Oryzias latipes: one gene and its partners. The protein of the gene in region 2 binds, or shares a complex with, the protein of the main gene of each other region. Links are inferred from orthologs where the notes say so. Each region holds a gene or a part of one and is shown on either strand. Other genes may lie near its edges. The genes, in order: pold2, pold1 and pold4.

Evidence for each region.
Region 1: pold1 (region 2) and pold2 share a complex: the UniProt entries of both Homo sapiens proteins name them as parts of the tetrameric DNA polymerase delta complex. The link is inferred for Oryzias latipes from reciprocal best matches to the Homo sapiens genes POLD1 and POLD2.
Region 3: pold1 (region 2) and pold4 share a complex: the UniProt entries of both Homo sapiens proteins name them as parts of the tetrameric DNA polymerase delta complex. The link is inferred for Oryzias latipes from reciprocal best matches to the Homo sapiens genes POLD1 and POLD4.

What each region holds. Positions count from the first base shown.
Region 1 is NC_019867.2:18,718,598-18,729,095, forward strand, and holds the start of pold2 (DNA polymerase delta subunit 2), read right to left. Parts: upstream 5,173-10,498; 5' UTR 5,049-5,172; intron 4,908-5,048; 5' UTR 4,901-4,907; coding exon 4,675-4,900; intron 4,598-4,674; coding exon 4,476-4,597; intron 4,390-4,475; coding exon 4,266-4,389; intron 4,197-4,265; coding exon 4,082-4,196; intron 4,009-4,081; coding exon 3,810-4,008; intron 3,691-3,809; coding exon 3,610-3,690; intron 1,014-3,609; coding exon 856-1,013; intron 1-855. Other genes in the region: nono (non-POU domain-containing octamer-binding protein), read left to right, coding at 5,616-6,932. UniProt on the Homo sapiens protein: Accessory component of both the DNA polymerase delta complex and the DNA polymerase zeta complex.
Region 2 is NC_019866.2:14,480,314-14,490,840, forward strand, and holds the start of pold1 (DNA polymerase delta catalytic subunit), read right to left. Parts: upstream 5,199-10,527; 5' UTR 5,113-5,198; intron 4,480-5,112; exon of another isoform or gene 4,431-4,479; intron 4,318-4,430; exon of another isoform or gene 4,314-4,317; 5' UTR 4,312-4,313; coding exon 4,125-4,311; intron 3,800-4,124; coding exon 3,686-3,799; intron 3,542-3,685; coding exon 3,401-3,541; intron 2,803-3,400; coding exon 2,677-2,802; intron 2,558-2,676; coding exon 2,389-2,557; intron 2,228-2,388; coding exon 2,107-2,227; intron 2,001-2,106; coding exon 1,871-2,000; intron 1,798-1,870; coding exon 1,631-1,797; intron 1,556-1,630; coding exon 1,451-1,555; intron 1,328-1,450; coding exon 1,187-1,327; intron 29-1,186; coding exon 1-28. UniProt on the Homo sapiens protein: As the catalytic component of the trimeric (Pol-delta3 complex) and tetrameric DNA polymerase delta complexes (Pol-delta4 complex), plays a crucial role in high fidelity genome replication, including in lagging strand synthesis, and repair.
Region 3 is NC_019859.2:1,160,419-1,170,765, reverse strand, and holds pold4 (DNA polymerase delta subunit 4), read left to right. Parts: upstream 1-4,326; 5' UTR 4,327-4,460; intron 4,461-5,717; 5' UTR 5,718-5,785; coding exon 5,786-5,891; intron 5,892-6,316; coding exon 6,317-6,400; intron 6,401-6,674; coding exon 6,675-6,786; intron 6,787-7,110; coding exon 7,111-7,135; 3' UTR 7,136-7,272; downstream 7,273-10,347. Other genes in the region: sarcoplasmic/endoplasmic reticulum calcium ATPase 2-like, read left to right, coding at 9,205-9,322, 9,478-9,495, 9,715-9,797, 9,882-9,986, 10,210-10,347. UniProt on the Homo sapiens protein: As a component of the tetrameric DNA polymerase delta complex (Pol-delta4), plays a role in high fidelity genome replication and repair.

The DNA of each region.
Region 1 (10,498 bases), on a different chromosome or scaffold from region 2:
TAATGAACTCCTGGCGCTCTGCAGAAATGATGTCTTAGAAAGTCTTGTTTTTCCCCCCTCTAAAAACGGCATAATCATACTTAAAGACCACTGATTTTAAAATAGATCAAAAGATGATCAGAGTAGGACTTTAACAGTTTGTTCTTAAGGTCAGGGTACAAACTCTGATCGTTGAAGGATCTGAGTAATTGGTACCGGGCCTCACAAAAAAGCATACATGGCTTGCAATTTGATTCAAAACTGAGTTTTATTTTGGAAAACTTTCTGCCAAAACTGTCTGTCCCTCAGTCAAAGGGTTCGCCCTGGTCACGTGTCTTACCTGCAGCCACTACCTTCTCAAAGACGCTGATCACATCCGTGACACTTAGTACATCACTGCCAAAATGAAAACCCCAAGCTAGCAAAGTCAACAACAAAAAAACATATTTGGAAAATTTATTTAGGCAGAAAAGAGCCACAGAGGAAGAAACTTCAAAAAATAAACAATCTGCATTGAAGTCTCTACTTAAAATATGGATTCATAGGTCGCTCCCATACAAGCAGGCTCAGCAACATATGCATTTACCAACCTTTATCAAGTTAGGAAGTCATTGTTGATAAAGTTGCAAACCCAGAGTATTAAAAATAGAAAATAATAGTTTTTATGTCCATCACAGCCTAAAGGCCAGTCTATGAAAATCTTGTCTGACAATAAAGCGGTTGATGCTGCTTTAGGCCATTTGCTCTGGTACTCGGTAAAACCTAGAGTCTAAATTTCCACACGCCTGCAAGATCATTTCAGGTTAAGCAAGACGCTTAACCCGACGCATCAAGACGCTTGATGACAAAAATCGTGTGAATGATGATGCTGCGTACCTCACTCCATCAATGCTGGCTTCAAATGGATTAGAGACCAGCTGCAGGGTGTTGTATGCAGAAGATAAGGGGAACATACATGGGTGAAGAGGTTGCTGTGGGAGAGTGTAGTTGGTTGGATCATACTGGCCCGGCATTACATCTACTGGAACAGAAGCCTTAAAAAACAAAAGAGGCAATACCAGTGAGCAATTACTACACAAAACATTCAAAAGTCCGTTTTTTTTATAAATGTCTCCCAAAACACCCATCTGCTCTGTCTGTGCTTTACTATGTCCTCCAGACGCTGATAAACAAAATAAACTGCAATATTGAGTTTGTTTGTAATTCCTTTATCAAACCACTAGATGGAGATATATCCTTTTTGGACAGACTTTTCCTTTTTTCTTTTTAAAGAAAGAGATTTGTTACAATGGATTATTAATTTCTACTTGATAAAATAATGGATCTTTGCTGTTAGAGAGGTTCCACACTCATCTTGGTTCAGTTATTTAAAAACTAGGAAACAACATGAGGGGATCAATAAAAATATTTTCACCGGAAACTGTTGGCTGCCTGAAGAATCAGGTCTTGGACTCCCGACTGTTTAAGTTAGATCTTTATTGGTTTTTATTGGGTTTTATTTATTTTTGTTTAATTTATTGATTTTATGCTGTTTGTTTTTGTTTGTTGTTTTGTTTTTACCCAGCGTTGTTAAGCACTTTCTAAATAAAGTTGACTTTATTTAGTTTTATTATTGCTGTCTAAAAATTGTTTAAATAAATTGTTTCAGTGACTGGCAAAATATCTCTGTTTTCAGGAAATAATACCGTTTCATAAAGTAAAAAAAAAAAAGGATGTGACCAAAGCAGATGACGTGATTGTTGGTAAAGGAGACACTTTGTAACAGATAAAAGAAATTAAGATCTTTCTCTTTCGGCTTTTCCCATCAGGGGTCGCCACAGCGAATCATCCTTTTCCACCTCACTCTATCATGAACATCTTCTACCCTAACGTTAGCCAACTTCATGTCCTCTGTTAAGACATCCATATATCTCCTCTTTGGCCGTCCTCTTGCCCTCCGGCCAGGCAGCTCCATCTCCAACATCCTTCTACCAATATATCCACTATCCCTCCTCTGAACATGTCCAAACCATCTCAGTCTGGCTTCTCTGACTTTGTCGCTAACACAGGCAACGTGAGCCGTCCCTCTGATGTACTCGTTCCTTATCCTGTCTAACCTGGTCACTCCTAAGGAGAACCTCAACATCTTCATCTCTGCTACCTCCATCTCAGCCTCTTGTCTCTGTCTCACTGCTACCGTCTCTAACCCATAGAGCAGAGCTGGTCTCACCACTGTCTTGTACACCTTTCCTTTGAGTCTTGCTGGCACTCTTCTGTCACACAACACTCCTGACACTTTCCTCCAACCGCTCCAACCTGCCTGCACTCGCCTCTTCACCTCTTTTCCACAATCCCCATCACACTGAACTGTTGACCCCAAGTACTTAAACTCCTGCACCTTCTTCACCTCAGCCCCCTGTAACCTAACACTTCTACCTTGATCCCTCTCGTTCAGACACATGTATTCTGTCTTACTACGACTGACCTTCATGCCTCTTCTTTCCAGAGCAAACCTCCACCTCTCTAGCTGTTCCTCCACCTGCTCTCTACTCTCACTGCAAATTACAATTTCATCCGCAAACATCATTGTCCAGGGAGATTCCTGTCTTACCTCGTCTGTCAGCCTGTCCATCAGCATAGCAAACAAAAAAGGACTCAAAGCTGATCCTTGGTGTAGTCCCACCTCCACCTTGAACTCCTCTGTCTGACCTACAGCACATCTCACCACCGTCATACTTCTCTCATACATGTCCTGAACTACTCTGACATACTTCTCTGCCACTCCAGACGACCTCATACAGTACCACAGCTCCTCCCTCGGCACCCTGTCATACGCCTTCTCTAAATCTACGAACACACAATGCAGCTCCTTCTGACCTTCTCTGTACTTTTCCATCAACATTCTCAAAGCAAAAATGGCATCAGTGGTGCTCTTACGGGGCATGAAACCATACTGCTGCTCACAAATCTCCACCTTCTTCCTAAGCCTGGCTTCCACTACTCTTTCCCACAGCTTCATTGTGTGGCTCATCAACTTTATTCCTCTATAGTTGCTGCAGTTCTGCATGTCACCCTTGTGACATGCAGAACTGCAGCAGATAAAAGAAATTAAGATAAAAAGTAAATAAAACCAGGTTTTGGCAGGTATTTCATGACAACAATTTAAACGATAAGTTTATTGATTCTGTTTATAACAGTCGGTTTCATGGAAAGTAGTTTAAACATAGCAAACAAACTCATCAAATGTTTTAGAAGAAATGTGACATTTTATTTACTTATGTACTATTTTTCCTTCTGCTTTGATTAAACAGGTCAACATTTGTGAAATGTATTGATTTGAATTTCTGATTTCTGGTCACGAGTTTGTCACAGCTGATAGTTTATTTAACTTTGCAATAAAGTGAATTTAAACTAGAAGAATACATAAATGCTTATTCTCTTTTATGTTTTACTCTTTATTTTAATTTTCTAATTTTTGGGTATTTTTTCAAAATAAAAGAAGAAAATAAAACAAAACAAAAAAAGAGTTTGAATGGTGCCAAAGTAAACCCATAAAACAAAGACCTGGCAAACAACAAAATGCGTCCTGCTATATTATAGTTATCGTTGGTAATAGTTTAATCTTAGATGACTTTTACACAGCCGGCTCACCACCAGCTGAAGCAGCAGCTCATCAAGAACACGGATGGCTTCCACACTGCCAGCCTGGGTCTTCTTTGTGAGGTACTTGGCCTGAAACAGGAAAAAAAAGGCATTTGATAGTTAAAAGTAAAGTTCAAAAAGTCAACTTATCCAAAATAAGGACAAAGATGATAAGGAAAGTCAAGTGGTTGCATGTCAGGGGGGATGACCTTTGTTGATGCGTCTTTATCCTGGGTGTTTTGGCTCAGGAGGTTTCCAGCCAACAGAACCCGGGAAATTGCTGCTGCGCCGCTTTGTTCGCCTGTGTCTCCAAGCTGACCGGTGACCATGTCAACCAGCAACTGCAGCCCCAGCATGCTGTCAGCATTGTGGCCCCCTAACCCGAGTCCTGAAGCCAGGAGGACAAACCTGTGCCAAGACAAAGCTTTAATGAGCTGCAACCCTTAACTGCAAAGGTTTACCTGTGCACACCTGAGCTCACCTGTCTGAGCTGAGCGCAGGTCTTGGTGTCTGTAAAGGAAGATCAGCCATGCAAAAGTCCTCAACGGTGAACTTGCCATCGTTCTTTTCAGCTCCATATATTGCAACGACACTACCTAAGAGGGGCAACTTTTTTTTAACATAAAGAATTTATTAAAGTATCAAATATCATCAATTACACTGACCTGTGACACACTTATCTTTATCAAATTTGCCCTCCAACTTGATCCTCTGGAGTTCATCCTCTAAAATCAGCTCATCTGCTTCACTGATGTATTTGGCTCGTGCAGGCTGAGGCAGCAGATTGTGCTGAAAAACAGACGTCCAGGATCTTTAAAATGAAAGGAACAGATCAAACGTGGCTTTGTTTATCCAAAAAAGACCAGACTCCTAACCTCTTCACTGATTTCCTTCAGGATGGATGGCTGCAGCTCCATTCGCTTGAACAAGGTCCCCACAATACAACACTGCTCCCCCGGTTCTAGGTCGCACAGTTTCTTGATAAGAACATTAGATCCTGACAGAGAAGAGGGGGAAAGAAGTATTGGATAATCAAGTGATGGTTAAACTGGCATGCTAACATGATGAACTCACCCCACTTCTGCTGAGCTCTCTCTGCCAGCAGGGGCCTCATCTGCATGAGTCTTGCTGCATAAATGTGAGCATACTGACGACTAAAGCTCCTCTGACCAACTCTGTAACGATCGGAGTACAACTCGTAGGGTAGTGATATCCTTTCGAAGGTAGGGCCCTGCTCCTCAGAGGCAGGGCTGCAGAGAAGAGAGGGGCCATTCTTCTGGGCGCTCACGTCAGAAAACATGGTTTTCCTTTAAAGGAATTAAGTAAAGGAACATTAAAATCCTTGTTAACCAGTTGAATGTTTAAGATTCAGCGTCCCCCTTTACAGCAACAACATATTATGTCACTGACTCATTTCCCTACAAATAACAAAAGTAGAACAACAATACCTTAAACGGGAAGTCCTTTTAGATGTTTTAAGAAAAAGCGCAGTTCCCGCGGAATAGCCCGCTAAAGCTTTTATCGGGAAGTCTCGCGAGACGTTAGTTATGTCTTTCCAGCATATCGTTTATCTAATTAATGTTTTTGATTGTTTATTTGTTTGCTTGTTTGTTTAAAAAACGGTATGAAAATAACATTTTAAAAGAAAACGTGAATGTAATCGTTTTACAAATATTTTTTTAAATAAACTTTATTGCACAATATGCCATTTTACAAGGATATACTTTTAGGTATGCAATAAAAACACAACTGCAAATATCAAATACACATATTTAACAAACAGAAGAATAAGAATAGAAATAAAAATGAGCCAGGGGTTTAAACTCTAAGAGAAATCGTCTTACAAAGATGCCGTCAGGAAATTTTAAGTAGATGTCGCCTACATGTGACGTCACACAACCGTCAGAGCAGCGCACCGTGTCGCCATTTTTGTTACTCTTTGTACGACATTGTTAGCCCCTTGTACTGCTTTTCAAAGCACACTTTACCAGATTTTTTGACTTCTTTGTCAAATAATGCAAGGAAACAGAGGCCCTCAGCATAACCACGGCCACAACCGCCAGGGGGAATACTTCAAAACCGAAGGACCTAATAGCAATGGCCAACAGCCGGAGACCAGCGAGCAGACCAACCCCAACGCGGCCTTAACCATGGACCTGCAGAGCTTCAGGAAACCCGGAGAAAAGACCTTCACACAGCGGAGCAGGCTGTTTGTGGGAAACCTACCCACAGGCGTCACAGAAGATGACCTGGAGAAGCTGTTTGCAAAGTATGGTAAAGCCAGTGAGATTTTTATTAACAAAGAAAGAGGCTTCGGCTTCATCCGCCTGGAAACCAGGATCATAGCTGAGATCGCCAGAGCCGAGCTGGATGATCATGTATTCAGGGGCAGACCTATCCGAGTCAAGTTTGCTACGCACGGTGCCGCTTTGAGTGTAAAGAATTTACCAGAGTTTGCCTCCAACGATCTCCTGGAAGAAGCTTTCGCTATTTTCGGGCAGGTGGAGAGGGCGGTGGTGATTGTGGATGACAGGGGGAGGCCCACGGGGAAAGGCATCGTCGAGTTCACCTCAAAGCCCGCAGCCAGGAAGGCTCTGGATAAATGCAATGATGGTGCCTATCTTCTCACAGCCTTCCCCCGACCCATTACAGTGGAGCCCATGGAACAGTTCGACGAAGATGAAGGACTGACCGAGAAGTTGATCAACAAGAACCAACAGTATCACAAAGAACGGGAGCAGCCACCGCGTTTTGCTCAGCCGGGCTCCTTTGAGTATGAATATGCAATGCGTTGGAAAGCCCTGATGGAGATGGAGAAGCAGCAGTACGAGATGGTGGACCGCAACATGAAAGAAGCTCAAGAGAAGCTGGAGGCTGAGATGGAGGCAGCCAGACACGAGCATCAAGTGATGCTGATGAGGCAAGACCTGCTGAGGCGGCAGGAGGAGCTGCGCCGGATGGAAGAGCTCCACAACCAAGAGGTGCAGAAGAGGAAGCAAGCGGAGCTCCGGCAGGAGGAGGAACGCCGGCGGAGGGAGGAGGAGATGAGGATGCGCAACGAGGAGATGATGAAGAGGCAGCAGGAGGGTTTCAGAACCAACTTTTCTGAAAACAGAGAACAAGATATGATGATGCACATGGGTGGTCACGGGTTGGGCATGAACAGAAATTCCCTAGGTGGGAATTCTGGACCTGCCAATGCTGCTGCTATGGCTACAGATAGCGCTCCGATGATGGCAGGTCCAGCAAACAACATGCCTGTAGGAGGACAGAGCGGCTTCCCCCGAGGCCTTCCGGGGCCTGGAGACTATAACAAGCAGCGGAGATTTTGAAGAGCTTCTTCCCTTGTCTTACTATGCTCACTGTAATTTTCCATTTTGGGTAGAAAGTGTTACTTTTGGACTTTGAAATGTGCATGTGTTTTTTTTTCTACCGTTTTTATTTGTCCTTTTCATTTTATTTTAGTACTAATATGTCATAACTCCAAATGAGCCATGCATTTTCAATTGTTTCTTACATTCACTAGATAGAGATGGAAAATGTTTCTTTGTCCTAAATATGTCAACTTTTCTGGAATAAAGTCATGATTCCTTAAAAAAAACATTGTCTCATTATAATAAACTTATGATTTATTTATCCAACCTTCATTGATCCAGGCAAAACAGATTAACAACAGCATTCTTATTTTCAACGGTGGCCCGATGAAGTGTCATAAACACAGAAGCAAATACTTCACATCCAGCCTGTTCATCCATTCACAAAACAATATCTGATGGCACCAGTGCAAGTATTTGATCTCATTCGGTACATGATCCTCAACATAACCTGAAGGATTCCGTGCAGATTTATGTACAGAGTGAAGAACACTGAACTGGTAATCCAGTGGTTTGCTACAGTAAAGAAGATGGTAAATATAAATGTAGAAGCTATGAAAACTCCATATGAATGAATTTAACTGGTTATTTATTAGCTACTAAGGAAGTGGGACACAAATTTTTCAATTTTGCAAAACAATTCAATGAGATTTATGACTGAAGAAATCCACAATGAAAAAAAATAAAGGTGTTTCACATTGAAGATTTGGAAACTTGAGCAAACCAGTGGTCAAAACTAACAAGAGGAACTACGTAAGATGATTTTGATTTTCAAAGTCAAAATTCAAACAGATGATTTTTGCTTGCTAGCTTGTATGCGCTTGCTGGACAGGTGTCATCTGATAACAAAATTATCATTTTTTCTTATCAGACCCCAAGAACTGAAAAAAAGTAGCTTCTTCAACTATCCTGCAAGTACATCATAAATATAGGTTGATAACAATTTGATGATAACAAACGTGCAAGTGTTCTCTGGAAATGTACGCTGTGAAGTCTGCACTTTGTGCCCTGCAGGACACAAGGTAAGCTTTCTCCTCAGGTTTCTCATCCCCTCATTCTGTTTGACAATCGTGTCAATTTGGAAAATCTTACTCTAGAAAAGCGTGCAGGGTATGCAGGCTATGAAGGTGTCATGCATCACAGATGTTTGTTTAAATTAGTTTTTTATAGTTTGGTTTAAAAAAACAGAAACAGCATCTGTTAAAATAGTTTTGTAAATTAATCTTGCCGCCTCAATGAATTCATGAGCGTGTTCTAAATTTTCTGCTTTAAAATGATAATTTCCCATGCATTTGGCTTCCAGTGCTATTTAGTGCAGAAAAAATATGAAAGCCTTAGAAAATGTTTTTTAACCCTTGTGTTATCTTAGATGACCCCACCATTAATTGACCTTGACAAAGGTGGATAAAGGTGGAAAGAGTTCATGTAATCCATGGACACCAGTGAGGTTCACAAATCATTGAAGAAAAAAGGTTTAGCACACTGTCTAGTGGGTCTAGATGACCCAACTCCCAATGTTAAAGTGCCTAGGATAGCACAAGGGTCAATTGATATTTCACATTTAATAAACAAATACTCTTTATGATTATTCCAAGCTTTAAGACCAAAATGTGGTGCAGTCAAATACAATATCATAACAAGTTAATAGATTTCAGGGTAAAATTAGTGGATGCTTCCTTATGTTTTGTATGTTTTCTTAACATGTAAATGAATGAAAATCAAATTTTTATTGCTTTACTCACTAAAAGGAAAAGGGATTATCGATTTTATTTCGTGGAAAACGAATGTCATTATTTTTTAGTGTATTGTGGTTGTGTCGATTAAGTATCAAATAGAAAGATCTTTTTGAGGGAGACAAAATGAGAATAAAAATGTGTTTAGGTAGTATTTCTCTCAGTCAGTATTCCACTCAAAAAATGAAATGATGTCGTCTATAAGCCTTCAAAGTTCCCATTTGTCTCTTGCACAATAATTTTAAGGACAAATCTGCAGTAAGTCTGCCACTAAATCCAACTGCTAAATACTGTGCTTGAAGAATATTAGCAAAATATGATCTACTCCAAAGGAAAATACCACCTAAACAAAAAAAAATTTGTTTTAGAACAAAAAAGGAAAGCTGAAAATTCATGCAATTGTTTTCACTCAAAGCTGAAAATGGCGTCTGAAGGACAAAATCCTGACCATATAAGTCTTAAATGTTTTCTCTCTCTTTCTTGTTTATTTCTTTCTTCCTGTCTGTCTTTATTATTTTTGTCTTTCCTTCTTTCTTGGCTCATTAAAACTATTAAATGATCAATGATTGTGTTATTCAAGACTGAAAAGGAAAAACAAATACAAGAGAATGAGTGTGACTCAAAATTAAAAGTCTGTTTTTTCATAAATTGGTTCAATTTGTTACAAGTCCTCTGTTTAAAAATCCATAATTTTAACAAAAAATAATTTTATAAACTGTTGAAGATTACATCCATAAGACAAATTAGTAATGAAAAAAATAAGAAAACATTTTACTTTGAAAAGCTGTCTCTGTTTTAGAATAAAAAAATAAATCTGACTTCCTGAACAAGCATTTGCATAAAATCTGAATTGCTTGAATGTTATTTCTCCCGCAAACAAATCAAATGTGGGCAGATTTTTATGAAAGGGCAGAACCTTTCCGTAAGTTAAGATAACAGTCACCATCAAGGAGTGGAAAATTATTATCTACTTGTCAAGGAAACAGACAAACAAAACAAGAAGTAGTGCATAACTTTAAAAAAAAAAGAGTATTTGGAATCCCTCCCCCAAAAAAGGATAGTGGGGAAAATGTTTAAAGTATTACTCTCGTATTGTTGCAATGATTATTTCAGAAATATTGAGCTAATGAAAATAAACAAAAGCAGTATGCAAACACAGGACTGGCAAAAGTTCCAGTCTTGCTTTTTATCTTACATTTTCCCACCTTTTTCCCTGATTCAAATTTCTGCCCAAATTCAAATGTCAACTGTCAGCTTTCTGCAGACTTTGTTGTGTTGATAAGTTTTATGGATTTATCAAAAGAACAATAAACATCCCCATATCAGCTCCATTTTTTCTTGTCTTTCTTCACATCTCTATTTATCTGCCTATCAGATGTTCGTGCAGAAGTAAGCAACAACCTGCTTGAACTTGGGATCCTAAGATACCCAAATAGTCAGTTTTTACGTCACAGAGACCTTGACTTAAGATAACAACATTCAGTCCTGGATCAAGGTTGATTTTAAACACGGGGAAGTAATCCTGCAAACCGCTGTATGATGGGTTCAGGAAAATATCCTTTTGGACAAAAAGTAATATAAAGGTATATTTTTAGACAAACACAGTGCATGTGGCCCACTAACAGGTCATGTCCGCAGTATGCTCTGAATTTCATGTATGATCTCAGAGTTTCAGCAGAGTCTCAACATGAAACTGCTATACAAGTTTGTAAGACTTTATTACTTGTTGATCACAGTGAATAAAGAGGAGTGGCTGATACGTTTGGATTCCCCCAGTGTTTTAACCGAGCT
Region 2 (10,527 bases):
AACGCAACTTGTAATCTCTAAGGAGAACCTGAAAGAAAGACCAGTAAATACTACCTTTAAAGTGACCACAAAAGTAGGCAGTGTTTACTTTAACTGCTGACCTGTAGGGCTGAAACGATTCCTCGAGTTACTCGATTACAAAAATTCCTCGAGGCAAAAACTCTGCCTCCAAGCCTCGTTAAAATCCTATCACGCACACCATACGCTCGGCGCAGGGATTTAATTGCGTCACACGGACCGTTTATTCACACGGACCTTTTGAATTTAGTTGGCGCGATGGCGGAGAATAGATCTATAAATAAACGGCAGAAAACGTGAGATGTCACGGCAAAATAGAGCTGGCATACCACAACAGCACATCTTCCATGATTCAGCATCTGAACAGAAGACATCCACTCTATGCTATTCACCGACCAACAAGGTAAATTAACGTAGTCTAAGCCTATTGATGTTCGCTGATTTGAATCTCATAGTGCATTTGTAGCGATGTCGTGATGCGGTTTGACTAGATATGATGTTTAACTTTGATGACGTTTTAAAGTAGTAAACGTAACTATCACGTTCAATTGCAAGAGAGTATAGCCTAAAAAAAAGAACCCCTTCACACACACACACACGCACGCACATACACACACGCACAAACACGTACATTTTGATGTTTGTTTTGAGACTACAGCTTATTATTTATAATTGTTTATAATTGTTTTATTTACATAATTTTTTATACATTTTATACATTGTGTACCTGCTTGGCTTGATATTTTATATTCATTTTTTGTTCCCAGGTTAACTAAACTAAATTTGCAGAAGGTGCAATCCTTTTTTTGTAATGTTGTGTATTAAGAAGACAAAAAACTAAGTTTATATTCATATTAGTTTTACAATACATGTTATACATGTTACAGTAAGTTCACTTAACTGTACATTGTTCTATAATTGTTGGCAATGCCAACTTGGCACTTAACTTTTGGAGCCAAACTTTTGGACTTGGAAATAAATACCTCGGTTGAGAAATAAAAGCCAAATGCTTGTTCATTTTACAGCCACATCATTTTTGTTATGCATTATTTGTTTTGGTTGTTCAAAAACACACACAAATCGTTTTATCCGATTACTCGATTAATCGATCGATTAAGTGCTAGATTAATCGATTACAAAAAGAATGGATAGCTGCAGCCCTGCTGACCTGTAACAGATCGAACTGAACTCGGCCTTCCATGTTGATGGTCTTGTTCTCTCTGCGGCCCATCTGTTTGCTCTGGAAGTTCGACTCCTTCAGAACTGACTTCATGTTTCGCACTCGGCCCAAGTATGGAAAGTAAGTCACCTGAACAGAAGAGAAAATTAAAATTTGAGGACCTGGGAAAGCAGGAATCTCTTCAAAGCTACCTAAACCGGAAGACACTTTTTGACTTTTGAATTTGACGAAGTAAAAGTGGCTTCACCAAACCTTCAGAGCTGCTGCCCTGTTGATAAGATACGGAAAGTCGAAGTTCTGGATGTTGTATCCAGTTATGATATCTGGGTCCACCGTCCGCAAAAATTCAGCCCAGCTCTGATCAAACAGAAAACATCCAGAATTGAAAAACTGTTCCAGAATATTCCACTTCTCTGGGATGCAAGTGTCTACCTGAAGAAGCTGCTTCTCCTGAGTGAAGCACAGGATCTGGGAGCCGACGATGCTAGTGCAGGACTGAAGAGTGAACACGGTGCGAATAAACGGCTCCGTCTCACCCTGCCGCTGCACCATAGATGCTATCTGAATCACGGGATCTTTATCCGGTTCAGGAAAGATCCCTGAACACAAAGACCAGAGTTGTGAGATTTTCAGTAAGTAAGCCGTGATTTAAAATCAAATGAGGAAACCTACCTTTCCTTCCAGCACATTCTATGTCAAAACTGAGGACTCGAAGTGGTGCAATCCTCTGCCATTCCCCTTCTGCTGGGTGACTTATCAAATCTGTCCAGGCGACATCCACTTCATACTGACACAGAGACACCTATGGGACAAACGGAAAGACGTACAAAAGCATCCCTCAGCAATTTGAAAAGAAAAGTTGATTCTTTTCTTTTCAAAAAATGTGAATTAGCATAAATAAGACTAACTTTGACTGGAGTCTGAGAGTCCACTTCTCCTGTGCTTGTGCTCCTCTCTTCCCTCAACCTCCATTTGTCTTTAGGGAGTTCAATCCAGCAGCATCCAACCACATTGCTGTCCACCATAAACCTGAGAACACATGAATGCTTTATAGTGTGACGTTCCATGGCAACACTCTCAAACTTGGAGTTAGCGATTTTTAAAAATGTCCTCAGGTAGCGTTAAAATTGGAGCAAATATTTTATGGTTTATGGTTAAAAAATGTGACCGTTTTTGGGGAGGACACACACCTGATTTCAAAGTCTATGTTGGCTTCGAAGGATTGGTATCCCTGGATGGGAAAATGTCCAAATTTAAAGCCCTGCTCCAGAAGTCTCTTTGCAGGCGCAATGAGACGAGGCATCGCCATGGTGATCCTCAGGAAATCCATACTCTGTTGCCCGTGGTAACCATACATGTCTTAAAGGAGAAAACAAGAAAAAAAAGTCTCTGTGATTTTATAGCATCGAACACTGAAGAAACTGTCGGTTTCCTATAAAAGGAAAAGAATTAGGACTGCGCCCGTAACTTATACTCACTCTCTTTTCGGGTGATGTCCACAGCCAACACCGTGACCGAAATGTTGTCTTTATTGGAGCGCATGTCTTTCAGGACAGCAGAGTTCAGTTCTCTCTTAAACTCACCCAAAAATTCAGATTTGAACCCTTTCATAGGAAATGGAGAAAAGTATGAACACAGGACGTTAGTTTGTCTACCCAATCACATTTTTACCATTCCCAGTGGTCCATTAATTATGATTATGCGGTTTTCGGACAAAATAAATAAATCTGTTTAATTTTTTGGGAGATAATTTTTGCAGAGTAGCATTAGTTTATTAGAAATTTGCCTAAGTTATAGGTGGAAATATTGGCGCGGACTAGGCCGGCCCCCCCTTCCATCACCCATAACCGATTTATCTACCAGTATTCACATGCTCTCCCACTAGCTTACAGCCCCTCACACCGCCCAACCTAACAATACAGGTGCAACAAACATTTTGCAACATTTACACCTAAATCACAACAATTTAAATAAAGAAATACTCAGAAATGCAATTTTAAGCTTCCTTTGGTGTATATATGTCCTCCCTCATCAGAAAAATACCACAAAAACATGTGAAACAGCAAAAATAAATGTTTTGATAAGAGTTGGTCTTTCAATAAAAGATTTTTCAATGGGATGTTTGATAGATGTGCCCTTCTGGAACAGAGAAACTAGTTTAAGACCATCTTCAGTAGAAAAAAGGCATAGTTAGGGACTTACCATTTGGTGCAGGAACATAGAAGTAAGGTGCAAACCCATGAACATGGCAGCACACACTGTTGCCATTGTCGGTCACGCCAAACATCCTAATGATTGGTACTTTTTCTTGCAACTGGCCAGGCATTCCTGCCACCGATGCACCTGAAGAGACAAAATGTACTCACAACAGATCCTTTTATGACAGATACTCCCATTTTACAGCATTTCAACCCCAAACTTTACCTGCATCGTTTTAGTTTATATACTCAAAGTGGTGTAACCAACTGATTATTTCTTAGTAATTACCTAGATAGTGATCAAGATCAATCTGCTGGAACACCAAAGTTTCTGAAGATGGGTTCAGCGTGGGGGCGTGAGGCCGTGGCCAGCGAGGGTTAAGGTCGGCTGAAAAAAGGTCACCTGAAATAAAAATTAAAAATAAAATCATGAGATAAATAGCTTCAGCATCAAAAATTGCTTATTTTTTGGGGGTGCTGTAAGTTAATAGACCAACATATAACATTTTTTCTGGAGCATAGTTTACATGTTTAGGTACAGATTAAAGCCATGACTGATGAACCAGATGTACCGGAAAGTCTACGATCTTGATGTAAAACTTTTCAACATTTTGGGGGAAAATGGGGCTTTGCAAAGTCTGCATGCCTTTGCTGATGTGTCTGTTAAGTTTTAGTAAAGTAATGCAGAAAAAATTTGAAACAAGACATTAATGGTTGTGAAAACTCACCCACTGGAATGACATCATGTCCTGCCTGACTCTCCATTTCCTCCAACTCCATCTCTGCCTCTTCAAGCATCAACAGTTCCTCTTCAAACTGGGAAGGGCTGTCTTCCCACTCCCCGGACATTTTACCCCGTTTGGCCTGGGATAATCCACCAAAAGGCGGGCCGCCGTTCCTTTTATTAAAAGCCATGTCTGTCCGTTTTTCCAAAAAGAGAAAGCAAAGAATATAATTGACATAATAAAATAAATCTAAAAATAAAAAAAAGGCTTTACTGAAGAGTATTAATACAAGTATCCCTTTTAACTTACTTATATCAGAAATTCTTTTTTTCAATAAAACAACACTGGCTTTGGAGTGGAAAACTGAAAAATAAATCAGTATTTATTGTTGAAATGGGAACATGTGGATCCTGAGTTGATTACAGTAGTATTTCCACTCTGTGCCAAAAAAAAAAAAAGAAAAATTATGCTAAATATAAAAAAGAAAGAAAGAAGACACGTTTTCTCGGGTAACTTCACGTTCAAAACTTCCAACTGACATTACTGCAAGCAATGACAATGGAGTTTGGCAGGAGCAGCCTTGTTGAATTTGGGCCAAGTTAGCAAACCTCAAAGCCTCCAGTGAAGTCAGAAGCTGCAGCTGCAGTAGCTTTGCATAACAAACACGCACGAGCGCACGCAGTTAGCATTAGTTAACGTCTAAGCTCCGAAGACAGACAGCCCTTTTCCTCATCCTAAATAAACATGTACTGAACATTTTCGCAAACTTAATGTGCTCAACAATGTCATTAACTCAATTTTAGGAGCAATAACAGAAAGTATCATTCGTGAAGCAGTTTCTCTCTTTTCCTAAGCTAAAACAAAGCTAGCGAGGCTTATGTAAACACAATACAGTAAATCCGCTGTCTAATCCGACCCAACTGCAGAGTCCATCTTTAATGGGTTGTTAAAATAAGAAAACAAAGCGAATACATTAGTGTGAAGTAAATACCAGCACAAGCTGCCTCCTCAATGCGAGCAGGCTGTAGACAACTCCCGCCACAAGACGAAACCGCGGAAAATGCCTTCTGACTTTGGTCCAACCACAAAGCGAGTAGGTGATGACGACATTCACATAGCGGAAGTTAAAAAAAAATCAGGAAAAAGAGGACTTTTTTTCTTCTTATCTTTATTGAAATATTCAAAGTGACAATACATTTTATCACTCATAATGCAACTAGTCTCCCGAAAATAAAACACTGAAACAAAGACCAAGTAGTAGACATATGAATCAAAATGCAACAGCAGGCCTATTACTTTACTTATATAATCTAACAATAGCTTTGCTCCTTTCCTATGTTTGGAGGGATCTGCAAAACATTTTTAAATGTTAAAGTCATTTTTAAAAAACAAAAAAATAGGCTCTTCAAAAAACTGCATTAATTTAAAACACAAATTTCTAAAATAATTAAATTGGTAACTAAGAATGAATATTTTTGTCTTTGTAAATCAGTCCAAACTGAATGTTATTTTTATACTTAAATAAAGTAATATTCAAGATTCAAGATTCAAGAAGAACTTTATTAATCCCCGAAGGGAAATTTAGTTGCAGTAGCAGCACTAAGGAAAAGGGGGGGAGGGGGGGGGGTAAAGACAAACACAGACACAAAAAATACAGAGAGTAGAACAGGACAAAAATTGAGTAAAATACAATTTGAAAAGTGTAGTCTGTGACTAGAAACTAGAATTTTCATGTACATCCGAGTCTGCCAGATGAGTTGTGGAGTCTAATGGCTGATGGCAGGAATGACTTCCTGTATCGTTCTCTGGCACAGCGAGGGTGTATGATCCTGCCACTGAAACTGCTTCTCAGGTTGTCCACCTCCCTGAAGAGGGGATGGGAAGGATTGTCCATGATGGTCCCCAGTTTAGCCAGTAGTCTGTCCCCAACCACCTCTTCCAGCTTGGCAGGCTTGAGGCCAATGACAGACCCTGCTTTCCTAATGAGTTTATTCAGTCTGTTGGCGTCCTTTGCTTTGATGCCAGCACCCCAGCACACTGCAGCAAAGAAGATGGTGCTTGCCATGACAGACTGGTAGAACATGTAGAGCATCCTGCTGCAAACATTGAAGGACCTGAGTCTCCTCAGGAAGTAAAGTCTGCTCGTGCCCTTCTTGTAGACGGCCTCGGTGTTTGTGGACCAGTCCAGTTTATCGTCTAGATGTACTCCCAGGAACTTGTAGGACGAGACAACTTCCACATCCGTCCCACCGATACAGACTGGGGGAGGCGAAGACTTTCTCCTGCTAAAATCTATCACCATCTCTTTAGTCTTGGCCACATTTAGCTGCAGGTAATTTTCCCCAGACCACCTGACGAAGCGCTCCACGAGGCTCCTGTACTCCTCCTCCCATCCATCTTTCACACACCCGACTACAGCTGTGTCATCAGAGTACTTCTGGAGGTGACAGAGCTCAGAGTGGTACTGGAAGTCAGCTGTGTATGTGGTGAATAGGAAGGGGGACAGCACGGTTCCCTGAGGGGCTCCAGTGTTGCTTGTCAGGGTGTCAGACACACAGCTCTGCAGTCTCACAAACTGAGGTCGGCCTGTCAGGTAGTCCTCAATCCATGAGACCAGGGGGGCATCCACCTGCATCTTCTCTAACTTCTCCCTCATCAGTCTCGGCTGGATGGTATTGAAGGCTGAAGAAAAGTCAAAGAACATGATCCTCACTGTGGTGTTAGGCTTTTCCAGGGAGGAGTATGCTCTCTGCAGCAGGTATAGCAGTGCATCCTCCACTCCCGCCTTGGGTTGGTATGCAAACTGCAGTGGGTCTTGGAAAGGGCTCACCAGGGGTCTGAGATGTGACAGCACCAGCCGCTCCATGACCTTCATAACATGGGAGGTCAGTGCTATAGGCCTGTAGTCACTAGGCGACTAGGCGACAATTGATAGTTGTTGAAAGCCAAAAATATAAATCCTGCCAAAAAACATTAACCAAGTGTATTTTTACTGTAAGGGCATGAATTATCTTGAATATTAAACCCAATTATTTTAAGTTCTTTTCACTGTATATATTTTTTTATTGTTTTAACATGAACTCCTTTCATTTCAGGAAGTAATGGATATGGGAAAAAAACTTGATTCCATATTGTCTGTGTCCTTTTTAGGAACAACAAACTACTGTGAGAAAAGAAAATGTTTGAAAAAAATCAGTAAGTGTGTTATTTTTTTCCAGTGAGTGTTTTATTTTATTTTATTTTATTTATAATTTATTAAGAATCTCAATAGAAAATTACAAAAAATTGGAACAGTGTATAAAGAAAAAAACACACAGGAATAAAACAGGAAAAAAGTTACCTTGCTTAAAACTACTAGCACCACTGGTATTGAAATGGACAATTTCTAACTTTTTCCATCCAAACACTATATACTCTGTAAATCAGACAAACCAAATCAAAAACAGTGTTTGAACCTTGAGGTGCACTTAAAATCCTTGCATTTGTTCAAAAATAGAAAATCCACCTTATAACTCAGTCAACCTCTAATAATAATTCTTGTTTTACTTACTGACCTGACATCCAGTTAAATTGCTGTAATATCAAGTGCGCAAAATCTGTCAAAATGTTTTAATTCAATGCGAACTGTCTTTCAACTGTTTGTGAACCAGTTAAAAAACGTTTGACTTAGTTTACTGTACTTTTTTTCTTACTGTTTATTTTTTTATTTTCTTTTTAGTAAAAGCTCTTTACTTTTCTTTGAGAGTTGAGCAACAATGGAGGGGTAAAATAGCCACACTCCAGAGCCGCAGGTTGCAGACCCTGATTTTTAATTGAAATTAAACTTACGAGAGGCTGCATTGTAGCATAGTGGTTGTTCTTCACTTGTTTTCCCTGTTTACCTGTGGGTTTTCTCCAGGAACCTCAGCTTCCACTCACAGCTTAAACACATGCTTTATACTATTGTAACTATTAATTTTTACAACGATAACGATTCAATTCACATCAAATTTTGTTGTTGACAATGTGATTCATAGTCAATATTAGTTCATTTTAAAGAATCTGATTCACTGATCTTAAATCAATCCAGTGAATCTTTAGAAAAAAATTCAATCAGTGTACTGAACAGTGCAGGTGAAGTTTTCCAGATTCCTTGTATTTCCTGCAAGATAGTAAAGTGTAAATAATTATGTAAACAAACAAAAAAGTAAACAATAATTAATGGCAAATCCATTCACATTTAGTTTCATAAAGTTCAGCCCAATGTTATATTTTCACATGCAAATAATACAAAGGGAACATTATTAGAACGTTCTACCACACTTTATGGTCACAAGTCTTTGCAGAATTCAAAGTGTTTCCACACATTGGACTGGAAGGATGGACTGATCATTTTTTGCTGCAGTCACATGCGTGTTGTCCGCTCTGATGGTACTTGGTCATTTTTACATTAGTAAACTGAACCTACCTTGTGTCAATCCAAATGGCATTTTCAAATTTTGATTTAATTGATCTATTTCATTTTGAAGTTATTCGATGACGTTATTAGTCGATTTGATTAACAACTTCCCTCAGACAGGCCGATCAAATATAAATTGATTCATCAATAAAGTCGATTAAGCGTTACACCAGAGGTGGGCACTGAGGGCCGCATTCCTGCATGTTTTCCAGCATACCCTGCTCTGGCATGTTCTAATTGGCTGGACACACCTGAACCAGGTAATCAGTTATGAGTAGGGCAAGATTATTGGCTGGACACACCTGAACCAGGTAATCAGCCATGAGTAGGGAAAGGCTATCTTGAAATCATGCAGACACACCGGCCCTCGAGGCCTGGAATTGCCCACCCCTGCGTTACACCCATAACTGCTATACTTCTGCACCAAATCCACACCACTTAGACAGAGACATACACCTGAAAATGACATAGACAAAATATCGACTTAGACAAAAAATAAAAATTGTACATTTTAAGGGCAATGATTTGAAGGTGCTCTGGCTTAAAAAAAATATCTGAAACATAGGTTTCAGGTTTTCACACTGACTTTTTTTGTTTCAAGTATTAGAAGTTCTAAAGCTTTACTCTTGTGAAAATTTTGGGGTTTTGTCAAATACGGTTTGTTTGTGGGGCTCTGGCACCGTCTCCTTCTTACCTTAGACATGTATTCATAGATCCTGTCTGGCTTGGAAACAACTGTGCCTTTGAGATTACCCACACCCGCTCAGAAGCCCCTTCAAAGTTCTAAATTTCAATCTCTTCTAGCATCTTAAACAGTCCCATTTTATGATTTTGACACATGCAGTCTCAAAGTCTACCTTGGAAAAAAAAGGCACTCTCAAATTGTATGTGTTGTTAAGACATTCTTAGATTTAATTAAAAAAAATATAGAAAAATTACAGTTAGAATAATTTAAAAAAAACCTGCACTCATGAATTAAAAAAAATCCTACTTTAGAAAAAACTGGACATTCCTTAAAACAAACCAGTTTGTATTAGCATAAAGCAGAATTGTGTTTTTTTTCTTAAAGGAGAATAAGATTAAAAACAAAAAGAGTGCCTTTTTTTAATAAAAACATAATATATTTTACACTAAGCATTTTTTACTCCTTGTTATAAGGATAGTTGCCATAATGCCATCTTTCTCTATCTAAAATGTTGAAAGATTAAATTATTATTATACTTAAACATCAAACAGATAAACCGAGAAAGTATGTTTTTATAACACGCAGAAGAGAAAGGAATGTTTTAAGAGTCAATTTTCACTTTCAGCAACAATAAACTTGTGTTAAAGCTTCATGGACTGAAAATATAAGTGAGTCAATCCATTTAAATACACAGCACCTGGAGAAAATCCCTGCAGGCTTATGGAGCGGCACATGCAGAAAGGCTGGAGCTGAAATGTGAAGAAGAGAAGAGAAGTTTTTCCACCTTCATTGCTCCTGCACCAAGCAAAATACCAGAATATTTGTACACCTTTGAGTACATACACTGGTCAGTTTTCATTTAATCTACCATATCAACTCTTATATTGAGCAAGAATATGTAGAAAGGTCTGCATCTAATTCACAACTGTTACACTGGAAATGTGATAAATTCACTAAAGCATTTACACAGTGTGACGTTTTATTAATCAGTGTCAAAAGAGACAAGTCTGTCCAGTCTTAAAGTAAAAATGCTTAAATTTTTGGCAAATGGCAAGTAAAATATTTAGAAAGCATTGACTTTTTTGTGCCTGAAAGGTCACACAATAGCTGTGTAGTTGCTGACAGTTTATGGCCTTTTCCTCTCATCATTTACAGATGCAGATGCAGTGAACAGTAAGGTTAGAGGTCACAGAGCGAATGATAATGGTGCAACATGACACTTCAGGCGTTCAGAGGAGAGCATGCTGGAAGACAATAAACAGAGGAAAGGAACAACTTAGGTT
Region 3 (10,347 bases), on a different chromosome or scaffold from region 2:
AGATTGTTCTTCATCAATAATGTTATCCAGTCCTGGTTTCAATCTTTTGGCAAAAATAAGAGCGAATATTTTAGCATCATTGTTTAACAGACTAATTGGTCTCCAGTTTTCTATGCATAATTTATCTTTTTGTGGTTTGGGGATGAGTTTGATGAGGCTTGTCTGAGAGTTGGGGGCAATATACCAATGTCTAAAGCCTCTTCAAATAAATTTGATAGAAAAGGGGTCAATTTAGCAATAAAGAATTTATAAAACTCACTTGTTAGTCCATCATTACCTGGACTTTTATTATCTTTAAGAGATTTAATACAGTCTTCAACTTCCTCTGTTCTAATTTTCTGGTCACAAGTCTTTTCAAAAGTTTCACTGACTTTTCCAATCTTATCTTTAATATTGTTAAAAAAATAATTCAATATCTTCTTCTCTAAAGCAATCTTTGGTGTAAAGTCTCTGATAGAATTTTGCAACATATTGAGAAACCTTTTTTGTATCTTCACTTATTGAATTATCAATTTTAATTTAACGTAGACAGGAAATTTCGAAATTTCTTTTTTCTAAGTTGAAAAAATATTTTTTATATTTCTCCCCCCTTTCTAACCATTTTCTTCTTGATCTAACAAACGCTCCTCGTGCTTTTTCTTCATATACTTCATTCAATTCTGATTGCAAAGAAATGAGTAATTTTTGTTCTAGATCAGATAAATTCGTTTTTTCATTAATAATCATTATTTTTCTTATTAGTTCTGACTCTTTTTTGTTTTGTTTTAGCAATTTTCTTCCCAAATGATTTTGCCAAAGATCTTATTTCATACTTCATTAACTCCCAACTATTTGAATATCTTTTTAATGTAAATGCTTGTTTCCAGTATTTATCAGTTAGTTTTTCTACTCCACCAGTAAATTCTTTATTGTTTAATAGTAAATTATTCCATTTCCAATAGTCTACGTTGCATTTGGGTGCATCAGTTTCCATATTAATTTTAATGGACACTGTATTGTGGTCTGAAAAAACATTGGATATAATCTCAACAGAATCAACTGTATTTTCTATGTCATTAGAAATGAGCCAAAAATCAAAGCGGGAACGCTGAGATCTGTCCTTATTGCTCCAAGTAAAAAGTCTGCATTTTTATTTTGGCAATACAAAAAACACATTTTCTTTTCAGTTGGTCTCTGATACCCCTGGCATTCACAGTTAGAACAGATAATGACATGAACTATAAGAACAAGAAAAAAGAGAAAATTAACTTAGGAACTTCCTGGTTTTGTTCAGGAACCGCTGCACATATTCAATCTGCCTTAAACTTTGAGTCTGTTTTATACCGTCATACTGACCTTTACAAACATATTTCAGCTTAACTCAGTATTTCCCTGCCGTTCACGAAAGCCCTGTTTCCAATGAAGTAGGCTTTCTCTCCTGTCTTCCTGGCTGCCTCCACTGCTGGCCATAGGCGGCTGCGAGCTTCCTTATCAGCAGATGTGAGATCTTCCTGGAGACGAAGATGATGATCCAGTAGGTAGACGTTCTTTGGAGAACTTTTCCACAGGAGATCTCTGGCCGATCTGGACAGGAACCTGATGATTATGGGTCGGGGACGTTGATTGGTTCCATTCCCACTGGGCTTTCCAACTCTGTGTGCGATGTTGATTGCTGAAACCACCACTGCAGAATCTTTGGTTGGTAACATCTCTTTAAAAATGTCTTGGACTCTTGATTTGACATCTTCTGGATTTCTTTCAGGGACACCAGACAGGCGTAATTCACTCTTCTGCTGTGGCGGTCGGCATCGTTCATTTTAGTTTCCATCTCTCCAACCTTCTTCTCCAGCTCTTCACGTTGCTTTTTCAGGCTCTCATTTAGTTTTTTCAAGTCCATGACCTCCTGATGGCAAAACTCAAGCGACTTCTTTAAATTGTCAATTTGGACAGTATTGTAATGCACAGCTTCGTCGGTTCTGTCTGCTCGTTCGTTAATTTTTTTGGTAAACGGTAAAGTCGGCTCAGTTGCAGCGCTTTTCTCAGGATTATTTTGCTTTTCTTCTCCTCTCACCTTCTTGGGGGGATGTTTCATAGGTGTATTTGGCATTGAAGAGCATTCTCCATCATCCTTCATGTGACATGCATAGGAATGGGTTTCTCTGATGTTTCGTTTTTCCTTAGAAGCATCCACTTCCATATTTTCCAAAGAGCTGCTGCGGTTGAGAGAGCCGCGGTTATCTTTTGATTTCTTCATCATTGTTAGTTTAGATTTTGAAGTATTAATTTGAAAAATCTTCACGGAAAAACTTTTGCTGTTGTTTCAAGGCAAAGGGTCGGCGAAAAAAACAGTTTGTGCAGCGAATTCCCAGTTTTAAGAACTCACAGAAGTTTCTTACATGCGGTCGCGGTCGCCATCTTGGCCCCTCTCGATTCCTCTGTTTAGTATTTACTGTTTATTGGCGCTCGTCTGCCACCTACAACAGGAAGAGGCTCTGTGCACCAAGTCAACGGTGCAAACCCCGTGAATCAGATGTTTGGTTTTCACGGCTCTGTTCCCATGAATGTCCGGTCTTGGTGTCAAATTAATACGGTCGCAGTTGTTAACGTCTCCTTCATGATCACGTTGGCAACGCTTCATGCTCTCGTGTTTGGAAGTGGACGCCACCCACACGTCACTAAATCAGAGTCCCCGATTGGTCACAGAGCTACAGAGCTGCATCGCTGCGTTCAGCATGAAAAAGTTCAACCAGTTGAACCGTCAGCGCCACCAATGAACGCCGGTTTGTGCGCAGAGCTCGCCACTGGACTTTAAAACGTACACAGCAACGCGCGATCACCAGCGTTCCGGACGCAGGAACCTGGAATTCTGGTCTAGACTGGGGGAGGAGCCGGTGCACGCCGGACACGGCTGCAACATGTCCTTAACGTGTTTCTGAAAGGAATGAGACCTCTGTCCGTGCTTCAGGAGGATCTAGAGACGTGATTGGGGGGCTGTGCCCTGGAGACCACCTAAGTCATTTACTGTAGAATATTTTACTGTCCAATAAAGTGAAACCATGTTCATAAAAATATTGCTCTTACTATTTGTATGGGAAGGTTAGACGTGATGTAGTGCAGGGATCATCAAGTTAGCAGCTGTTAGGACTTTTTTGTGCTACGGCTCACCTGAGACCTTTAACGTTTGATCTTTTATGAGGAGAAACTGAAATCCATGAACTGTACATGTCAAATTTCTGTGAACCCAGCTCACGCATACATACCAGTACCATGCCAGACAAAAGCTGATGTGAACTATGCGAGTGGCGCTCGCGGACCCCCCAGCGAGGGTGTGAGGAAGCAGCAGCAGCAGCAGCAGCTGATGTTCTCCAAGTCTGACATTTCACAGCCGCATCAGGGATTCCAAAGGGAACCGTCAAGTTCCTCTCTGAGCCTTTACCTCCACATACAAGTTTTTTTAATGGCATGTTGTTGTTTTTCCACCAGAACCAAACTGTCCTCACCGTGTCGAGGCTTTATTGCATCACTACACGCACACAATCCCCGAAACACAAACGCACATCCAGACGGATCACATGGAAGTGTTCTGACATGGAAAATGGGAGATTAATGGACAGACACATCAGAGGAGAACCAATCAAACTGCTTTTTATTGATTTTGACATTCAGGACCAGAGAAGTAGAGAAAGAGGAAACCGGCGGCGGTCCCCCCGGCGGCGTCCTTCCAGGCAGCCATCATTAGGGGTTGACCTCCAGCCACATTCCCACCGTCTTCGCTGTAGAGTCTTTTACTAAGGGCAGACCGCAGAGATCACGCCGCTGCATCGTCCTCCTGGGTCTGTAAGTTAATGGGCCTCTACAGGAAGACGGCGTGTCTTCTGTTCACTGATGGATGGATTGAGGTTTGAGAGAAGTTTGCTGCTTTTTGCCAGACTTCGTTTGTTTTTTAAGTGTGAGTGCATCTTCTAATGGCATATTATTGTTTAAGTGCATCTCTGTCATCTTTGACCCGCTGAGGCATTTCAAAGTGCTTCACAAAACCCCATAAGCTTTGCACCACACCCAAAAATTCTATAAAAGTCATTTTTACTAAACTGCAGGGACAGCAACCGGCTAAAGGCAGACTTTGCAGCTTTCAAACAGTTTCTGAGGACTGTAACATGTCTACGAAGAAGAAAAAATTATCTTTAAAAATTCAAGATAAAATTTTATATAGATAATAACTCCTGATGTGTTTTTATTGGTTCGTTTCATGTCATTTCGTTTCATTCTTGCATCAGACCGTTTGCGTCAGTGTGGTAAACTGCTGTTCAACAGTCGCCGGCAGGGGGCAGCAGAGGCGCGCGGCGCTCCAACTGGTCAGAAACACGAAGAAGAGCGCGCGCCGTGGCCGTCATTGTTTTGGTCCTCCGCCCTGCTGCTTTCTGCAAATCTGTTAAAGAGGAATAAATATTCACGGAAATCTTTTTGTTCTCCAAAATCAGGTGAGTTCATTTCGTATTTGTTCGGTTTTCTGAGCACTCTGTTGGCGCAGGCGCACTACAGTACCGTGTTTAGTCAAAAGTGAAAGCATATTATTTTCCTGCAGATTTCATCATAAAAACATTTAGTTTTTAAAATGAAATATATTTGGGACATTAAGGTCTGATAATGTTTCATAGATAACTGCGGTTAAGGTGTAATTACGTGTTTAGACTGTCCGTAAAGCTGTAATAAAGGCTCGAGCAGGTAAAGGGGCGTGGCTTCAGACTACATTCCACTTTTGAAAAAAGTCAAACTTGTTTTATTAGAAAAACTTTTACGAAAACCTTATAATAAACGTAGGGAGATGTAATAAGTCCTCATGCATAAGCAGACAGACTCCATCAAACTTTAAATCATCAGGAATTTCTGTTTGTTTGATTTTTATCTTTGATTAAAAAATAAGAAATTCCTAAATGTGTTTGAGTTCAACGAACATCACCTACTGAGTTTTCCTCCATAGCAGCATTTTAAAATGTCGTTCAGAGCAGCAGGATCACAAAGATGAACTGGATCCTAGAAGAAAATACAGATGACTGCATGTTTTTGGTTAATTTGTCTTCATTTTTGTGCTTTTCTGACCAACTTTAACCTGTTAATTCTAAAAGGAGAACAATTTAAATCACTTTAGGTGCAACCTTTGTGAAGAGGAGCCAGATTTATGCTGCTTTCTCAGCAGCCATACTATAATAAATGCAAATGAGTATTTTCATGTCTTCACAGAGAACAGATCTAAATATGTTTTTACCTAAATGACTGTGAATGTTTATGAATGTTTATATTTGAAGACCAGAGATGAAAAAGTCTGTCTGGAAAATTTTGGTCAACATTAAATCTGAATTTCTATGAAATGTTACAAACGATTCACTATTTCCAACATAAGTCACATGAATCTAAGTTATTCAGAAGTTCAAATCATTTTGGTTTAGATCTCAGAAACAATAAATCTCCTCGTTTGGCTCTGAAGCTCAAGCAGCTGCAGGTTGTTGGTTTTAACCAATCAAAATCCAGAAATCCTCAACCTTAGAAAGTTCTGAAGATTTTTATTGATTTAATGACAGGAGCCTGCAGAACGGGCTGCATATGGCGCTTGGTCCGGACTTTGGACATGCCTGCTGTAGACCGTTCTGTCCTGCTTCTGGAGGAATCATAAAGAAACTGATTGTGCAATAATTCTGTGAGATGAGGTATTACTCAAATGGACGAGTAATCTGTTACAGGTAGAGTAACTTGCAGGACGCTGTCATCGTCTCTGTCTGCAGCTGCATCATCGGTACAGCCGGTCACCATGACAACCAAGCGGGGACTCATCACTGACTCCTTCAAGGTGGTGAAGAAAAAGAAGAGAGAAAGGAAGCAGGAGAAGAGCCCCACGCCGCCCCCCCCTCGGACAGGTGGGGATCCTCCGGGTGTCCGCTGATGTGCGCGCCGTGCACGAGCCACGCGGCGTGCACGAGCCACGCGGCGTGCACGAGCCACGCGGCGTGCACGAGCCACGCGGTCACAGAAAGGTCACCTGAGGTCACAGAAAGGTCACCTGAGGTCACAGAAAGGTTACAGGAGGTCACAGAAAGGTCACCCCGGGTCACTGAAAGGTTACAGAAGGTCAAGAGTCCCATGAAAAGTGTCTCCTCCTCTGTCAGAGGGCTGTAAAAACGTGTTCTGTTTCTCTGAGTACAAAAACAGACGAGTATTGAAGAGACAAACTGTAAATGACATAGAAATAGAATCTTTACAGACATAATTATAAAGAGACATTAAAAAATAAATTCTACCTTTCAGGACTTTTTTGTTTGAAATCCGTTTTCTGCTTTTGCAGAAAATGTTGCAGACACCGTCCAGCAGGAGGCGCTGCAGAAGCTCAGAGACTTCGACTTGGAATTGAGATTTGGGCCGTGCACAGGTATGGAAGCAGATGGGGGGGCACGCCTTCAGTTTGCAGCTGGAGCAGCACTGGGGGGGTGGGGGGGTGGGGGGGTCTGGTTGATCTATAGGAAGCAGATCTAAACGTGTCTGCCGGACTTTGCTCCAGCCTCTAGAGATCACAGGAATGCTTTCATGTTAAATAATTAAACCTACTTTCCTCACATTTGACCTGAAATGGGAAGAAAAGAGACGGTTTTGGGGGAGCATCTCCTCTTGGAGGGAGGAGTGCAGCTTTCCTTCTCTGTTTTCAGGGATCAGTCGTCTGCAGAGGTGGGAGAGAGCAGAGCTGCACGGCCTGGACCCCCCCGAGGAGATCAGGGAGCTGCTGCTGAAAGCCCCCGCCGACCCCGAGTACAGCCTGAGGTGACACGTCCTGAAAAAACACACACTGTCCTACTGTTACGGCCAGCTCGTCTGCAGGCGGGTCACAGGAGTCCGGGTCACAGGAGTCCGGGTCTCAGGAGTCCTGGCAGAACCGCAGCGGCTCCTGAAGATGATCAGGAAGAAAATGCTTCTAAATGTTGAAATCCGGCTTTTCCACGTTCAAATAATGCAGACTTTCTCTAAAAAACGGAGATGATGCACTAAAAACTCTGACATCAGGGATGATTTTTAAAACTCTTTAATCTCAGACACAGATTTTTATCTTCTTTAAAAACTCTGACTCTTCATCTCCTTTATTTTCAGCCTGTGGAGCGAATATCCTTTGTGAGTCTGGAGGAGGAGGAGCCAAAGCCTGCAAAGTTCCACCTTTTTACGCCGTTTATCATCATAATGATCATGTTTCTGCATCACAACACGTTCTGTTTTTATGGACCGGTTCTGTTTTATTAAACAGGTTCTGCTGATTCTCTGGCTGCCTATGTTGTTGGGGGGGGGGGGGGGGGGGGGGGGGGGGGGGCTCTTCAGGTAATGTCACCTGCTGAATGTTTGGTATTAGAATCTGGAGGTGGGCAATAACACACAGATCCAAGCACCGTGTGATGGAAGCCACGGGCTCCACTCACTGACACACTTTTAGACTTTTTATAGCCGACCCAAATTTCTTTTTTTTTTTTAATCGGTTCGTCTATTTTAGGATCAAGTCTGAGGAAATGGACCCAAAGCCACTTCCTGCATTCTTAACTGTTATATTTTATGATGATCAGAAAAAAATATCAATTACTAAAATCCTAACCCAAAAAAGTGAATAACATTGTTTATATGGTATATTTATCGTTAGGAACGCTGTGTCATTTATTTATTCTGCAACATTTCCATGTTTTCTTTAAGTCCCGCCTCCAGAGCTCTCTGATTGGTTGCTGAATGCGTCACGCTCTCACCTCGGACACTGATTGGTTGTCATGGCTGTCACTCGAACAACTGAACGCGCTGACAGCCAGAGGCGGGCTCCGACCCCCAAAAGGAGCCTACTGATGCTTTATGGGCGGGGCTTCGCACGCGGAGTTTACATTCCGTGTCCTCTCATTGGTCAATTCAGTCTGCGCTAATCGCGTCTGCTACTGAGCAGCTTCAGACCATTTTTCAATAAAAATCCCTAAGAAGTTCTCTGGCATCTTAGTCCGGTCATTTGAATGAGTTTAAAAACGTAAAATATATTCAAACTACGTAACAGGACGAAGCTTCTTGACCGTTTTTAGGTCCCCACGCCACTCATTCCCCGCCCTTTCATGCAAATTAATGCTCAATAATTAGGAAAACGTCGTTTACAGGACTACCAACATGGATCATTAAACCCTCAAAGAGAGGGAGAACGAAGGTATTATTTTCCTTTATCGTCTCATTTGCGGATGCTTTTATTTTGACATGACCGGAAGTTATGTTTGGCGTCGGTGGATTTCACGCTGACTGCGCGCGCAGCTGACAGGATGAACTGTAATAAAACAGCATGAATAAGCGCTGAGAGAAGAACCTTTGCCTTAAAACTCTCTTTTTTTCCGGAAGAACGCGCTTCAGGTTTTTTGGACGCAGAGGAGTCACGTTTGTTAGTTTATCGTGTTTATTACTAACTAACGGGATTAACGAAGAGGCTCTGCGGAAAACGTCCGTCGCATCTTCGGGAGGAATCGGGTCTGAAACCGATGCTGCTGTGATTCAACCCGCCTTCCTGACAGCGAGCGGACCCGACGGACGGACACCGATCTCCGGTAGGTGGCCCGTTCATCCCGGAGGATTAGCGTTAGCTCCCCGCCCGCCCCCCTCGTCGTGGGCTAACCGCTAGCTCTGATTGTGTAACCCGGTTACTGTGTGCGGTTCGGGTTCCGTGGAGCCCGGACCCACGTCCAGCCGAGAACAGAACCGTTCTAGTCGTTAACGGGGATCGAACGGGCGTGGATGATGACGGGAGTCTGTGGGAATTGGATGCAGTAAGGGCAGAGACTGACATGCGCAGTTACAGGTGTGATCACGCACAGGTGCGATCTGCGCCTTTACCTGTTTAAGACTCATCAAAAGGCTCATTTCCCAGCGTCTTTGAACGCCTCACCCCTCTTTCTTCTTGATAAAATAAATCAATTGATTTTTTTTAATCGAGACACTCGGAGCAAAAAAAGATTTCACAATGTTTAATGTTTATACTAAACAACCCCCCCCCCCCCCAAAAAAAAAGAAAAGAGCCCCCCTCCCCCCTCCCCGAACATCCACTGAACTTTCCATGACAGCAGTTGACCTCCAGGAGCATCAGCTGATGCTGGACCTGTTGGAGAACATCTGCTCACACGTTTCACCACGGGACAGGAAGTGTGGGACTTTCAGTTTAAAAGCATGCTCTTCTCCACAGGGATGGACAACGCTCACACCAAAACCGTGGAGGAGGTGTTGTGCTTCTTCGGCGTGAACGAATCCACAGGTCTGAGCTGTGAGCAGCTGAAGAAGAACCGGGACCAATGGGGGCCCAACGGTAGCGTTTCTATTTCAATCCAACGGCCGTTTGTCTGTAGGGATGTGGGGTTTGGGTAAACCAAGCGGTTATTTTGACAGGTTTCTGTGTTGAATTTGCTCACAATCGTGCAATAATCTCTCTTTTTTCTCCTTTGCTTGTCATTTTCTCTCCAGAGCTTCCAGCAGAAGAAGGTCAGTCCTCGTCTGATTGTTGAAAAGAGCAAAACGTTTCTGACGTCACTAAATGCATGTTTTGGTTCAGGCTTTTATTTTGTTAGAACATCTGATCCCCGTTTCCTGTCAGAAAGTTTGTTCTTTGATGACATGAAGGATGTATTTTTTTTTTTCATAAAAAGCAGTAAAACGGTTGTGGGGGGTTCTGAGCTGCGGCTGGTTTCCCTCCCCATGCAGGAAAGTCTCTGTGGGAGCTGATCCTGGAGCAGTTCGAGGACCTGCTGGTCCGGATTCTGCTGCTGGCCGCCTGCATCTCCTTTGTGAGGAATCCAGCGGATCAGAACCAGCGTACCCCCCCCCCTAACACGACCTCTGACCCTGACCCGATGTTCTCTGCTCCGTAGACGCTGGCGTGGTTTGAAGAAGGCGAAGGCACCATCACAGCCTTCGTTGAACCCTTCGTCATCCTCCTCATCCTCATCGCTAACGCCATCGTGGGGGTGTGGCAGGTAAGGAGCCCCCTCAGCAAGCTTTGGGAAGATGTTCCTGCGGGAACATTTTCCCAAAGGTTCTCTGTTGTGTCTACGAGGGTTCCCCCCCACCTCTAACATTCCTACAAATAAAGAACCCCCCTATAATGAAGGGTTCCTATCTGACACCAGAACACGTCCATGTTCTCTGGGAGGGTTTGGAAGGTTCTCCTGAGGTTCTCCGTGCTGTGACTCTCCTCAGGAGCGGAACGCAGAAAACGCCATTGAGGCTTTGAAGGAGTACGAGCCTGAGATGGGGAAGGTGTACCGGCAGGACAAGAAGAGCGTCCAGAGGATCCGAGCCCGGGACATCGTTCCCGGAGACATCGTGGAGGTTGCT